2 linked regions of the Mytilus edulis genome follow. The protein of the gene in region 1 binds, or shares a complex with, the protein of each later gene. Links are inferred from orthologs where the notes say so. Each region holds a gene or a part of one and is shown in the gene's direction. Other genes may lie near its edges.

Region 1 (7,578 bases):
CGTTTCACAAATGATATCGGATATGTTCCTTACGTCGTAACTACAATCCCCTCCCCTTTCGTGAATGTGACCTACCGAATTAGACTATTTACCGGATTTGTTATCACATAAGCAACACGACGGGTGCTGCATGTGGAGCAGGATCTGCTTACCCTTCCGGAGCATCTGAGATCACCCCTAGTTTTTTGGTGGGGTTCGTGTTGTTTATTCTTTAGTTTTCTATGTTGTGTCGTGTGTGCTGTTGTTTGTTTGTCATTTTGATTTTTAGCCTTGGCGTTGTCAGTTTGTTTTAGATTTATGAGTTTGACTGTCCCTTTGGTATCTTTCGTCCCTCTTTTTGAATGCTATATATTGTGATCGGCAGTTGTCTTTGATTTGTTTGCCTTAACCGTATGCATTTTATCTTCAAATTTTAACTGAGTGTCAGCAACTTGACATGTAGCACTAATGGAGCAGAAATCGTGTATCTTCAGGTAAGGCCGTTGCAAAAAGAAAAGTATCGAAATGAGAACAAAAGTTAAACAAACCATTTGACAGAAACAACTGATTGAGAAGCACAACAATAACCTTATCATAAGACCTGCGATATACGACATAAAGCTCAATTACAAATCTTTATATACAAGACAACATGCAAACATAAGCTGTTGAAACCTTTTTAAACTTTATCAAGGAAATACTGACATAAAAAACTTTTTGAATTCAACACAAACTAAGATAATTAGCAAACACTTATGTTTGTGATGTGTAACATCCCGTCAAAATTCCACTTTTCCTGCATTTGATTTACAAAACTGTAAAAGCACATCTTTTCTATCCCTAAACGACAAATATCTTCTTGATGGTATCACCAGCCCTGTAGTCTAGCACTTCTGTGTTGATCCGGATTATCACTGATATGGTCATAACTATGAATTAACTGTTTATACACTTTGAATTATCCGAAATACTAACGATTTTCTACGCCAGAAATAGATTACTTATTCTGTGTTTGGCAATTTAAAGGCAACAGTAGTATTCCGGTGTTCAAAAGTCATAAATTAATTGAGAGGAAACAAATCCAGGTTACACAAACACAGGGAAACACATCAGTCAACTATATATAAGAGAAGAACAAAGGAACACTGAAGTGCAACAAAAACAAACGCCAAGATGTATGGAAACGAACTAAAATAGATAGCAAACAACAGTTTGTGTAACTCTCATGCGCGTAATACATCCTTGTAGATTACGAAAAGAGCAGACTAATGCCGCTACAAGGCAGCACTCGCACCATCAAATGAGAAAAGGATTATTATAAGTTGTTCAAACTTGTTTCCCAATCCACTATAAATAAATATGTTTAAACTAACGAACTATTTGTTAACACCTGTCATATTCCTGACTTGTCTAGGAAACAAATGGCGGGTTGAACCTTCGGAAATGTTAGATCATCAATGCTCTTCCACTTCGTACTTTATTTGGATTATTAACCTTTCTGATTCGAGCGTCAATGATGATTTTGTTGTAGACAATACGCGCTTCTGGTATAAATTTGTTTGGTATATACAATGAGTGTATCGATCATTTCTGTGACATTTTGATTATTTGGTTTTTACACCATTCACTCTTTCTATTTGGAGAACCTTCTTTATTTATGTTTTCCATTGGTTTAGTGACTTATGGCTTGATTCAAAGGAAACTGCATCTCATTTGATAAACGATTTGCAAATTCGATATAAATTTCGCTTCAATTACCTCTCCATCAAACATAACACATATGAAATTGGGATTGTGGTTTAGGGAGTTTAGAAATTAGAAATGCACTCGTGTTTGGGAAAGTTGTGTAAGTATAATTTTTCTATTTGAAAAATAATAATTTGAAATAGTTTTGTATTCGTCTTCTGTTTCTAACAAAACAAGCAAATAATGTTATCAGCACTAAACAATATGACATCACAAGTTGTTTCACAGGCTGTAAAACAGAATGGCCTGTTGATTCTGTTTATTGCGGTGCTGTTTAAATGTTACTTTATAAATGCAAAATGCGAAAAATATTGTTATCTCTTTTGTCGCAAAGCTAAGTTGCAACTGGGCATCAGTGTAGGTGGTCTTTGTTTTCTTTAATAAATTTACTGTTTTAAAAAGTATTATTTTTTTTCGAAATACTTTAGGATTTTCTTATCACAGGCATCGATTAATTTAGCCGTATTTGGTATAACTATTTGGAATTTTAGGTCCTCAATGCTCTTCAACTTTCTACTTGTTTGGCATTATAACTATTTTGATCTGAGCGTCACTGACGAGTCTTTGTACACGAAACGCGTGTCTGGCGTATTAAATTATCAGCCTGATACCTTTGATAACTGTCTAGGATAAGTCATCGTATTAAACCGATTCCTAGCATTGAATTATTCGGTGACAGGATAAAGTTTGTACAGAGGAACCCGAATTTACAAAATAATGCTACATTTCTATCCTGATTATAACTGTAAAAACGTTTTATTCTGTCGAATAATCAAACCCTTAAGACGGCCATAAGACGACCGCAGATGCTTTTTCATTATTATCTATTGATTGATTGGTGTTTGGTTTACGCCGTCTAAGCAAATACGGAATATATCGTGGCGATCAATAGTAATAATCGTAACCCAATCACCACAAATTCAGTGTTCCTGTTTCTAGACTCTGGGTAATAAGATAACTTACCTTTTGGTTTTATGTCGTTTAAACCATACAATGACATGCATTTATTGTCCTGAATAGCAAGGTTCTTTCTCATTTTTGGTCTGGATGCCATTGGGAGTTACATGCGGAGCAAAATATGCCTAACTTTTTGGGACAAATTTTGTTACTTGTTTTGGTGTGTGTACTATTTTTTATTCCGGCTGTATTCGTATACGACGGTTTCTGTTGCACTTATTTTATTTTCTCGTCCGTCTGTTGTCCCAAATCTCTCGAAATTTGATTGATAGTAGTATGGTATGTCCTGGCTGTTTCTGCTATATAGATTCTGAATGATAATTTACTGGAAAAAAAAAAACAGAATAGCTTACAACAGTTGAGGTCGATATCATATCATATAAATGAGTCAAAAACTTATTTTCAGATATTTGGCTCATAAGAGTTTTACCCTTAGTTTCTGTCATATTTCTCATCAATAGTAGTTACTATATGAGGTTCTTTTATTTTATGTCAAAAGTCGTACTATAACTATGTCTTAGATATAAATTATTCACTTATTCAATGTGTTCTTTTTCTTACTCATACGATCTTAAAAAAATGTACCGCTTACGGAAATTAAGAATAGAGGGACAGCACATATAAACTACAGTTATTACAAGATCGAATTGATAAGAGTAAAAACACATAGAATAATTAAATATATTTGAAAATTTTAGAGAATCCTGGGTATCGTCTTCGATTGCATCCATGGGGGGGGGGGGGGGGGTATCATTTGGGCAAACATCTGTTTTTCTTTGCCATTTATTGATCTTTAAAACTGAGGCGTGTGTCCAAGTTTCATAACGTCCAAAGAATGAAAAGCGTAACGGTTACCTTAAAACTTCATTCCTATCCTGAGCGCAAATAAAAATTGTTTACACAACAACTTTAGACCAGAACATACAGTCGGAATGTGGCGGGCTTTAACTATTTAGAAAGCGCTTAACAATGCAAATTTAGGAATATCTGTACTAAAGCTATAATGACAATGTGTATAACAAATTAAGTTTCCATTGGAACTTCCATTATTTTGTGTAAAATATATAGTTAACTTCGTTTACATGGTGATGTATTAGTCCGCATGCTGTATATATGTTAATGTTATAATAACTTTGTACATGTATAACTGATTTTTTGAGTGCCCCGTGTGCAAGGGTTAGGGCGCAATTAATAAGGGTGCAAATAAGAAGTACGCTATAGAAGCGAAGCTCCTGCTAGAGGAGGAAGATAAAGACTAGGTAACAGGTAACAGGTAAGGTATGCGGAACAAATCAATATTGGGTGCGTTCAATTTTTTAAGTAAGATATTTATTAACATTTATACAGAATAGGTGGCGTTCACATCTCACATTGACATTCGGAAATGTTTAACAAAAACAGTTCGTTATTATTCATCTTTTGTCAACTTTCGTTTGAATCTTGGCTTGATCGAGAAACCGGAAGTTCCAAATCCAATATGTCTGCGCCCATGTATCGAAAAAAAGCGCAGTTTTAGCGTATTTTTCCAGTAATTTTCTGTTATAAATTCAAACCGTAAGTTAAAAAAAATCACCAAACATCAAATAATTTAAACAATGGTATTGCTTGTTACTCTAATGGGTGTCCTAGCGATCTTTTGTCATGTATCTCGCTCATTAATGATTAAATAAAAGTCTATAGTAAAGAGATGATTTTTAGATTTCAATGTTAAAGTCAAGACAGTTTGGAAATGACCCTCTTTCATTAAATGACATTTAGTTTTTTCCCTAAGAACTTGTGGGTTAGGTAATTTTACCTGACATCCCATTTGCCGATGATTTGCCATTGGATATATGGTTCCATGGGGTATATATTATGTCGGTTAAAAGCTCATTAGAGCTTATGTTTGTCTATGTTTTATATACCATGCCGACTCTAAATAAAGCTTATTTATTTATTATTTATTATAGTATCAGGTCCGTTCGCGCCCAATATACTTTCTCACCCTACACGTTCGCACCTCACTTGTTCGCCCCCGAAGTCTGTTCGCACCATACACGTTCGCGCCCAATTTATAAAGGTAACTGTAACGTGTAACCGGGCGGGGACGTTTAGATATTTTTATCCTCGGGTTCGTACCAGTTTCCTGGATTTGAAAAGCATTTCAAAAGTTCTAAAGTCAATTAAATGTTTACACTATCTCTATCAAATATGAAACAAATACTATAATACATAAAACGAATTTCAACACCTATCAACCTAATCCGAACTTGTTGAATCAAAACTGTTTAAAACCCTTTCTGTCCGATACTGTTTAAAACCAACTGTTTGAAACTATAGTCTGGAACCTAAATGTATAGAACTGGTTTGAAACCTAAATGTATAAAACTGGTCTGGAACCTAAATGTTTGGAACCTGTCTGGAACCTAAATGATTGAAACTGGTCAGACGGTTTGGAACTATTGTCTGAAACCTAAATGTTTGGAACCTGTCTGGAACCTAAATGTTTGAAACGGTTCAGACGGTTTGGAACTATTGTCTGAAACCTAAATGTTTGGAACCTGTCTGGAACCTAAATATTTGGAACCTGTCTGGAACCTAAATGTTTAAAAACGGGACTAAACCTTAATGTATCAAACCGGCTGAACCGAAATGTATCAAACGGGCTGAAACCTGAATAAAACGAATGTATGGAAACTATTCAAACTGTTGTAAACTTTGTACGTATGAAACTTTATTGAAATATATTTATAAAACTGTTGGAACAGGGTAGCACTAAGGTATGGTTTAACAGCAAACACTCACTGCAATAGTGAGAGATGTGGAACGCAAAACCTTAGCACTAACCCTGTTTATACAACTTCTACGGAACCGAAACTATTTATATCTTCTCAACAGGTTTCAAACACTCCACTTTGTTTGAATACTCCTGCTACTCGTCTTTAAATATTAACGGTCCTACCTTTTTAATCTTCTTCTTCCGACGTCTCCGATAAGAATGACAATTTACACTGGATAAGCTAACCACTATTTATACTTCTAACGCGGACCTCGAAGAGAGCACCCTAGTAACAACTGTACAGGTAAGCGTCTGATAGCAACCAAGGATAAAGGGATGATTTTAGATACAGTTTTCAACGATGAACGGATGATATGGGAAACTAATAGAAATATCGGAAAATATATAACTGTAGAACTATTATAACCTTCTTAAACTGCAAATTCGTAACACTACCCACGCCTCCGATTTCATGCGTCCTCGCATGAGTTTTACAATTTTATACTGACTTAATCAAAACACAATCAAAACTGTTCTCGTTAAAACTAGCTGACACCATACCAAGGTTCTACTTTAAACCTCAATGTATCCACTCATTCCGCAGAATATCTCTCCCAGCAACTGTTTGTACACCGAGGGTTATACCATGATAACCAACTAATGGCTTTCCTACAACAATCTGTTGACAAACGTCAGACCTAGGGGTACCTTAGCCTACTCACAGTTCCGGGGTTCCTGTCAGCCTCTTTCGACTTGCATGTTCTTTCTGTTTTGTTTGTTAACTTTCTATTTTCAAAATATCCTACTTTAATTCATATTTGTACAAGCAACTGAATACTGAACTTAAATTAAATTTTGACCAGATATAACCGTTTCAAATATAATATTTTGAGTACCACTTGAAAAGTTGTGTTGCCAAAAACCAGTTTAAAACAATTTTGCCTCACAACAGGCCACTTACGGACCCCTCAATTAGAGTTGTTGTAAAGGGTTCTTTAACGTGCACAGGATGTGGTACTTCCTGAACACGGGACCTCGGATTTAAGGTCCCCATCCGACGGACGGACAGTCATAGACAATCACAAAATACTAAACAGAAATGCTCGACAAATCCCACCGCTGAGCCACCATTTGTAACGTGTAACCGGGCGGGGACGTTTAGATATTTTTATCCTCGGGTTCGTACCAGTTTCCTGGATTTGAAAAGCATTTCAAAAGTTCTAAAGTCAATTAAATGTTTACACTATCTCTATCAAATATGAAACAAATACTATAATACATAAAACGAATTTCAACACCTATCAACCTAATCCGAACTTGTTGAATCAAAACTGTTTAAAACCCTTTCTGTCCGATACTGTTTAAAACCAACTGTTTGAAACTATAGTCTGGAACCTAAATGTATAGAACTGGTTTGAAACCTAAATGTATAAAACTGGTCTGGAACCTAAATGTTTGGAACCTGTCTGGAACCTAAATGATTGAAACTGGTCAGACGGTTTGGAACTATTGTCTGAAACCTAAATGTTTGGAACCTGTCTGGAACCTAAATGTTTGAAACGGTTCAGACGGTTTGGAACTATTGTCTGAAACCTAAATGTTTGGAACCTGTCTGGAACCTAAATATTTGGAACCTGTCTGGAACCTAAATGTTTAAAAACGGGACTAAACCTTAATGTATCAAACCGGCTGAACCGAAATGTATCAAACGGGCTGAAACCTGAATAAAACGAATGTATGGAAACTATTCAAACTGTTGTAAACTTTGTACGTATGAAACTTTATTGAAATATATTTATAAAACTGTTGGAACAGGGTAGCACTAAGGTATGGTTTAACAGCAAACACTCACTGCAATAGTGAGAGATGTGGAACGCAAAACCTTAGCACTAACCCTGTTTATACAACTTCTACGGAACCGAAACTATTTATATCTTCTCAACAGGTTTCAAACACTCCACTTTGTTTGAATACTCCTGCTACTCGTCTTTAAATATTAACGGTCCTACCTTTTTAATCTTCTTCTTCCGACGTCTCCGATAAGAATGACAATTTACACTGGATAAGCTAACCACTATTTATACTTCTAACGCGGACCTCGAAGAGAGCACCCTAGTAACAACTGTACAGGTAAGCGT
Region 2 (7,629 bases), on another chromosome or scaffold:
GGTCAATACACTTCTTACGGTAATCAGAGACCTATAAAGCTACATACATGTTTTAACATATCAGGAATTAGGCATTGCTTACAATGTCAGCTTATATTATCAGTTATGTTTTTTTCCAGAGAAAATAACTCTTATTATCAAAGATATTTTAACCAATCCATTTTGAAGAAAATCAATAATAATCTTAAATAAATAAATTATGCAGAATGTGCCCCTGCTTGCATATAATGTTATAAAGGGACATAACTCAAGAACTGTAAAAGTGATAATACCCAAATTTGTACTTGATTTGAGTTTTGTGATAATAAGCATTGTGTTTACATTTTATAACAATTAATTAAGGTAAACCTAAGTTAGAAAACAAAAACAAAAAATCCTGCAATTTTTCCATTTGCAAAAGAAGCAGAACAGGAGAACGATAAAAGTGACGCCTCCAAATTTCAAACTTGATCTGTGTTTTGTGGTAATTATCATTGTGCAAAGTATTATAATATTTGTTTGAGGCAAACTAAAGTTAGAGAATGGAAACGATAAATTTAGCAATTTTTCCATTTAGTATACATCATAATAAAACAATGAAAATAACAACAAATATAGTGATGCCCATATGTTGTTTATTTTTGGAGGCATAATGTATGCAACATTATTCAAAATAAAATATCTATAGCCCAAAATTCCATCTTTCATATTCAGATGAAATCCTTTCAGAAATACAATGAAATATGAAGCAACAAATTATCATCCTGTCCAGTAACTCAAGATAAATCCCCTTTAATATTTGGTCAAAAACTTTCCCTGGGGTAAGACTGGGGATAACACATCAACAACATTACTAGCAAAGCCAGCAGAAGCCATGATTTCCTCCACAAAACCTACAAATCGGCTATAACCATCAAAGAGCAAGCATTCAAAACTCTAGTAACGCCCCAACTAGAATACACCACAACCATATTGGACCCATATCATCAAAATCATATTGACCAAATTGAAAAAGTTCAAATGAGGGCTGCAAGATACGTCACCAAGCACCACAGAAACAGATCAAGTGTCCCAGACATGATGAACAAATTGGGTTGGAAAAGTCTGAGCCTCCAAGATTGACGCAGAGAGGTCAGGCTCGCAATGATGTACAAGATCGTCAACGACAAAGTAGCCATCAGCAAAGACATGTACCTCCAAAGACAAACTAGAATATCAAAACGTACACAACAGAAACTACATGGATACATGGTGCAACGAACCAACGACTGCAGGAAATGGTCCCTCTGTGTGAACACCACAAAAGACTGGAACAAGCTTCCCCCGGAGATCGACACAGCACAGTCATTTGAGACTTTCAAATCTGAAATGACCTACCTATCTTGTTTTTAACCATGCAGAACCAATTTGCCAGTATATTCTGAAAGTTGAATGCAGGCAGTATGTGGAAGAAGACAATATTGTGTAGGATTAGTGAAATACTGAATGTTTGGTTAAAACTACTGTTTTGAAAAATCGAAAAGTTCAAGTCCTGTTTTGGTCTCAATATGGAAAAGAACGGATATGGGTTTATAAATACCCTTAATGACACGAAGACATCACATATTGATCATTAAATGTTACACAAAATTAAATCTAGAGCTGACGACACCAACTTCAATAGAGCAGGAACTTCCCACTTACAGACAGCCATCTCTGGATGGTCTCAAACAAAACAAGAACAACTGAACCCAAAAGCATGTGGCAAAATGTTCAAATATCTTATTTAAAACTAAAAGGTTTAACCAAGAACATATATGTCCCTGGTTTAATAACACACCAATGACTTGAATGGATCCTTTAAATATAAAAACAACTTGCGTCCTCTATGTTGGAAAAATCGACCTGCGACCTGTACTTTTGTCTTAAAAACGACTGCGCGACCTAACGACGAATTTAAAAGTGACCTTGCGACCTGAGGGGGGTACCCTGTGGGAGCCTCCAGTACAGTCAAATCAGCACCTAGTCAATTTGGCACCTGGTTAAATCAGCACCTGATATAGTCATTTCGGCACCCATGAAAGATATGTTTAACATATGTTTTGTTCAGTATTTTAAGCAAAAAGTTGTATTCACAGTATTGACTCATTGACATTTTTGGAGGGTTTCTGTATGTATTTTTTTTGTTCAACTTAATTAGTATTCAAAGTTTTCAACATTTGAGCATTTTGCATGATATTTGGTAAAATGCATCGACAGTATACTGTTATTTAATAATCAATGTTTAAAAGTCACCAATATTTGCTAATATTAAATTTCAAGTGTTATTCAGTCATTATTAGTGTTATTCAGTCATTCGAGGTACCGGTGCTGATTCGACTTGTAGTGAAGTTGGAATCCGGGTCCGTTCGCGCCCACTCATGTTCACCCCCTTTCACTTTCGCACCCTACATGTTCGCGCCCAATTTTAATTGGTTTTGTGTAGCTTTGTAATCAAGTTTTGGCAAGTGTATTCTTATATTTGTTGTCATTGTCTCAAAATAAAGTGAGACAGCATTTTTTTTTTGTGTTGAATATATCTATCATGTTTTGGATAGTGTATTGTTAAAAATAATAAATAATCCTTTCTAAATAAAGTGGGATTCTGTCAACGTTTTATTTTGTGTTGAATAACTCTTAATCATGTTTTGGTTAGTGTATTGCCATAACTTTATTTCATTGACTTGTTTCAAAATAAAGTGAGATTCTGACTACGATTTTTTTTTGTGTGTTGAAATTTTTTTATCATGTTATGGTTATAAAAGTGTATTGCTATATTTTATTGTTTAAGATCGAAGGGACCAAGCTGTTAAAAACAATTATCTTTTGTGTTTTTCATTTAAAATCTTGAATGTTTTACTTACACCAAAGCAATTAATAACAACAATCATGATTTTCCAATTATTCTACTGGAATTTGAATTATAATTGGGCGCGAACGTGTAAAGTGCGAACGAACCTTGGGTGCGAACATGCGAGGTGCGAACGTGTAGGGTGCGAAAGTGTATTGGGCGCGAACGAACCTGATACCGTGAAGTTGTACCCTTTTTCATGGATTCTACCCACTGATATTTATTTGGCTTTTGGCATAGGATCAAAGGAAGCAGGACAAATCGCCCCCTGGCAAAACGCCCCACTTTTTCACCAACTCGCCCCACCATTAAAAAAATCAAAAAAATCGCCCCAACCTGGTTAACCAACTCGCCCCACTTTAAAAAAAAATCGCCTCACTTGTGAAAAGGGTTAAATCCAGTTAATTTTCCCCTGTCAACTCGCCCCACTTATTGAAAAAAGGGAAAAATCTACTTCTATATATGTAATTTTCAGGTCTACCAACTAGCCGCACTTAAATGAAGACTTATTTTGATTTTTGTAATCTACACAGAATACAAAAAAAAAAAACGAAATTTATTAAACTTTTTTAACATTTTTAAAATATAATTGCAATTACATTTTTGTATCATTATTGGAGAATAACTTTATACTTGTAAGCTTAGTTATTTGTATAACAATTGAAAAGAAACCTGTTAATTGTATCATAATCATACTATTGATGCGTGATTAACATTTATATATAACTTTATTGCAAAAACAGAGTTTTTAACAGCAATTTGATTTTATAGCACTTCACTTTGGTGTTTAAAGGTAATGACGTGGGCAGGGACAAAGATATACAACGGGATTGCATCTTTTTTATATGTGGTTTATCTATTTGTCATGAGTGGGGCTGAAAGTTGACAGACCGTATTTCAGCGGGATTTTAACCCTTTTCATAAGGGGAGCATGTTATCATAACTATTTGCAATGGGAGTTTACCCTTTTCATAAGTGGGGCGAGTTGGTAAACAAGAGTGGGGCGTTTTTTTAGAAAGTGGGGCGAGTTTGTGAAAAAGTGGGGCGATTAGGTGTGGGGCTATTTGCCAGTGGGGCGATTTGTCATGGATTCGGACCAAAAGAGCTAACTATGATCTGCTGGATATTTTTATAATGACGTCTACGACATAAAAAAGGATTTGTGCCCTTATACGACTGGAAACTGTTGATGCAAAAAATAAAAGAAACCACTATAACAAATAAAACAGCATCCAAAAACGTCATAAGTCATTGTAGTTGAAGTTATTGTGTATGGCAACTCATTTTCAAATTAATGTCTATGCAATCCGGTGCATAACACAATAAAGGAAACTTTTGTATTGCTCACTTTTTTTGCTTTGATGTAATTTTCTACGCAAAAATTGTATATTTTGGATTTTTCTTCAAAATTTCCTTGTCCAATGGCGCTGATTTATTGTGCATCAAATTTCATGACGTAGTCAATTAATGTGGATTGTGATAAAACATGTATTTTTTTCCGCAAAAAGACAAGTTTAAAAACAAAATCTAAATGTATTGAAAAGAATATTAGTCACAGAAAAGGGTACGCAATAAGGCATAAAGGTTGTTATATCTCCCTGATTCAGACTACTTTGTAGTAATTTTCAAATGGACTATAAATCCTTAATTTTCAGCATGTGAAAAGAGAGAATCCGGAAATTCTTAAATATAGTATTGCCGGTATCGACTCTGTGTTTTATCGTTCGACTGTCGTTTCCGGAACGCTTTTTCCGCCATTATCTATTTTTGTTGTTTGCCGGCTCTGCCGACAATAATCCTTGTTAATCACAATGAGTAAGGCTCATCCTCCAGAATTGAAAAAGTAAGTCACGACTGAAATTATTTGTATGTGTTTCCAGGACATTTAAAGACCCAAATTACAAGACATTTCGTGATTTGTGCCTCTATAATTTTCAAAAGAAATTATTTGCCTTCTTTCACTTCTTCTTCTTCTTCTTTCAGTACAGAGTCGGACTCTTCTTGAGTGTATAAATGACTCTTGCTCGTGAAATCATGAGGCCTTCCCTCCTCACTTAATAAAAACTATTTACAGGAAAATTATTTACAAATAAAACTATGTACATCTGGGGTCAAAGGAGATCTAGGTGTGTGAAGCTCCTGTCAAGGCCTCTGGCAGGATGGTAAGGCTGGCCTTGAACTCTTCTAGTGTAGCTGCTGTTGTGGCTTTTTCCGGTAGAGTGTTCCATTCCCTGGTTGATCTTGGGAAGAAGGAGTACCTGTATTGGTCTTTTAGAGTGCGCTGTTGGTGTATGCGGTGGCCTCCTCTGGTCCTTGAATCTCCGGGTTTGTAATAATTAGAGGGGTCAATATCCACCAATCTATTGCGGATCTTGTATGCCATGGTGAGTCGGTCTTTGCAGCGGCGATCTTTAAGGATCTTTTAGGATACTATACTCATAGGGTTATATACTAGTGCATTTATTCATGTCACTTACACAGCCTTATTTATAATAAGACCCTTAAACTTTACAGATTGGGTAAAAGTCGTGAAAAGGGAGGTTATATTTTTTTGTTTTTATGGCAGTTTTCTGGTGTTGATAAAAGTTTAAATTTTTAACCTAGTTTTATTATTGTTTCCAGGGACTTCCCTTTTCTATTTCAATTAAGACATTAAATTTACAAAAGAACACGTTTGAAATGCATCAGTAGTATCTAAATAAGTGAAGCCTCGTTTAAACTTTTTTCTAAAACTAAATAACACAAATCCGCACATATATAGTCCAATGTATATAAGTATGAGAGACTACATGTAAATTTTATCTATTACATGCCTACATGGCCAAAGTGGTACAACTACAAGACCGCACTGGCTTCATTGCAGAAACATCTTGTAAAAAAACCCAGACAAATCTTAACTTGAAAACATGACGTAATGATAAACAAGAAAAGATAACTCTAATAATATCCTCGATCTCCTATGTTGGAAGAGAGGACCGCCTACACAAAAAGGAAAACACATGTTGGTTTGGTTATCTTATTTCTAAAAGAGGGATGAAAGATACCAAAGGGACAGTCAAACTCATAAATCTAAAACAAACTGACAACGCCATGGCTAAAAATGGAAAAAAAACCCAGAAAAACAATAGTACACATGACAACATAGAAAACTAAAGAATAAACAATACAAACCCCACCAAAAACTAGGGGTGATCTCAGGTGTTCTGGAAGGGTAAGCAGATCCTGCTCCACATGTGGCACCCGTCGTGTTGCTTATGTGATTACAAATCCAGAAAATAGTCTAATTCGGTAGGTCACATTCATGAAAGGGAAGGGGATTGTAGTTACGACATAAGGAACATATCTGATATCATTTGTGAAATGGTTATTCCATACCGGTCAACCAACTTGTGATGGTGTCCGTAAAATTTATGAAGGGATGATTTCAACTTCACCATTTGGAACTCTTGGTTTAATAGCTTCCTTGTGAGCAGTAACCCTCTCAAGAAAATCATGATAGGAAATGCAAGCTTGGGAATATCGTATCAATTGGGAGGTATATACCCCGTATGCAGGTGCTGCTGGAATGTTGCTACTTAGAAATGGAAAGTTCACAATTGGAAAGCTGAAATCATCTCTTTTGTCGTAAAGTTTTGTTTTCAACCGACCCTCATTGTCAATTTCTAGATGTAAGTCAAGATATGAAGCCGACTTCATTCACTTATTTCTAAGTGAGAATCAAGTGTTACAACAATAATTCTAACAATATGGGAAGGATTATTATTATGTTGTACTAAATTTCAATTAAATGTCTTTCATTCTAAAAGTCATTAAAACAAAATAAAATACAAAAAAACAAACCAACGTGTTTAACTATAAGCAGTCAGAGCTCAGACATAAATAATCATATTAAAATGCATTTTTGACTCACTGTAAGTCGGGGGGGATAAAAATGACTTGTTTATGTCTGAGCTCTGAGTGATGAGAGTTATCTTTTCTTGTTTTGTGTGACATCACAAGAAGATTCAATCTGGGCAATGGCTGAACATTATACATGTAGGTGGAAAATGAATACAAATGGAAATAATCTATGCCAATATGGTATGCACTACCAAAATAGTTTAAAAAAACCATAAGGACCTAAGAGCTACGGTTCCACAGCTAGGGTTAACTGTGAATTAAACTATGCACCAAAATAAATTGGTTTTGAGCATTCTTGGTCTGTTTGTCACCCTCTGAGACTTGCTGATGAATTGGTATCCAAAATACAGATGGTCCAATTTTAAGCTGCTCGGTATGAAACAAGTCTTGAATGAAAACAGTTTATCAGTCATATTTTTGATGATGTTTGCAAATACCTTTGTACACAGAATTTAAACTTGTAAATGTATAATTATATGATGTTCCTTTATTTCAGGTTCATGGAAAAGAGAGTTTGCTGTAAGTAGCCAACAAGATTTATGACTTAAAAATTTGATGCTTGCATACAATTGTTTATAACTACCTCTAGCTATAAATCAAGGTTTATTGGCCATTGTAACATGTCTGTAATCTCCAGGGTTCTCAAAAACTCTGGTTTTATGAGTATTGCTAATCTCTGTATCATGCATTCCGTCAGAGACCAGATTTTTATTTCTGACTCCCAACTTTTACTGTGCATTTATATACCTAACCTACTGAATGTACATTGACATACATCAGTAGTTAACTGATCATGAAGGGATGAAATAGAAGAGCAAAACGGATTTTTCACCAAAAAAAAACATATTATATTAGATAAAATAAAAACTGCTGGCCGTGCC

What was found.
Region 2: U4/U6 small nuclear ribonucleoprotein Prp4-like (region 1) and small nuclear ribonucleoprotein G-like share a complex: the UniProt entries of both Homo sapiens proteins name them as parts of the U4/U6-U5 tri-snRNP complex. The link is inferred for Mytilus edulis from reciprocal best matches to the Homo sapiens genes PRPF4 and SNRPG.

What each region holds. Positions count from the first base shown.
Region 1 is NC_092345.1:12,076,361-12,083,938, reverse strand, and holds the start of U4/U6 small nuclear ribonucleoprotein Prp4-like, read left to right. Parts: upstream 1-4,113; 5' UTR 4,114-4,236; intron 4,237-7,578. UniProt on the Homo sapiens protein: Plays a role in pre-mRNA splicing as component of the U4/U6-U5 tri-snRNP complex that is involved in spliceosome assembly, and as component of the precatalytic spliceosome (spliceosome B complex).
Region 2 is NC_092347.1:25,799,445-25,807,073, reverse strand, and holds the start of small nuclear ribonucleoprotein G-like, read left to right. Parts: upstream 1-4,541; 5' UTR 4,542-4,659; coding exon 4,660-4,691; intron 4,692-7,244; coding exon 7,245-7,267; intron 7,268-7,629. UniProt on the Homo sapiens protein: Plays a role in pre-mRNA splicing as a core component of the spliceosomal U1, U2, U4 and U5 small nuclear ribonucleoproteins (snRNPs), the building blocks of the spliceosome.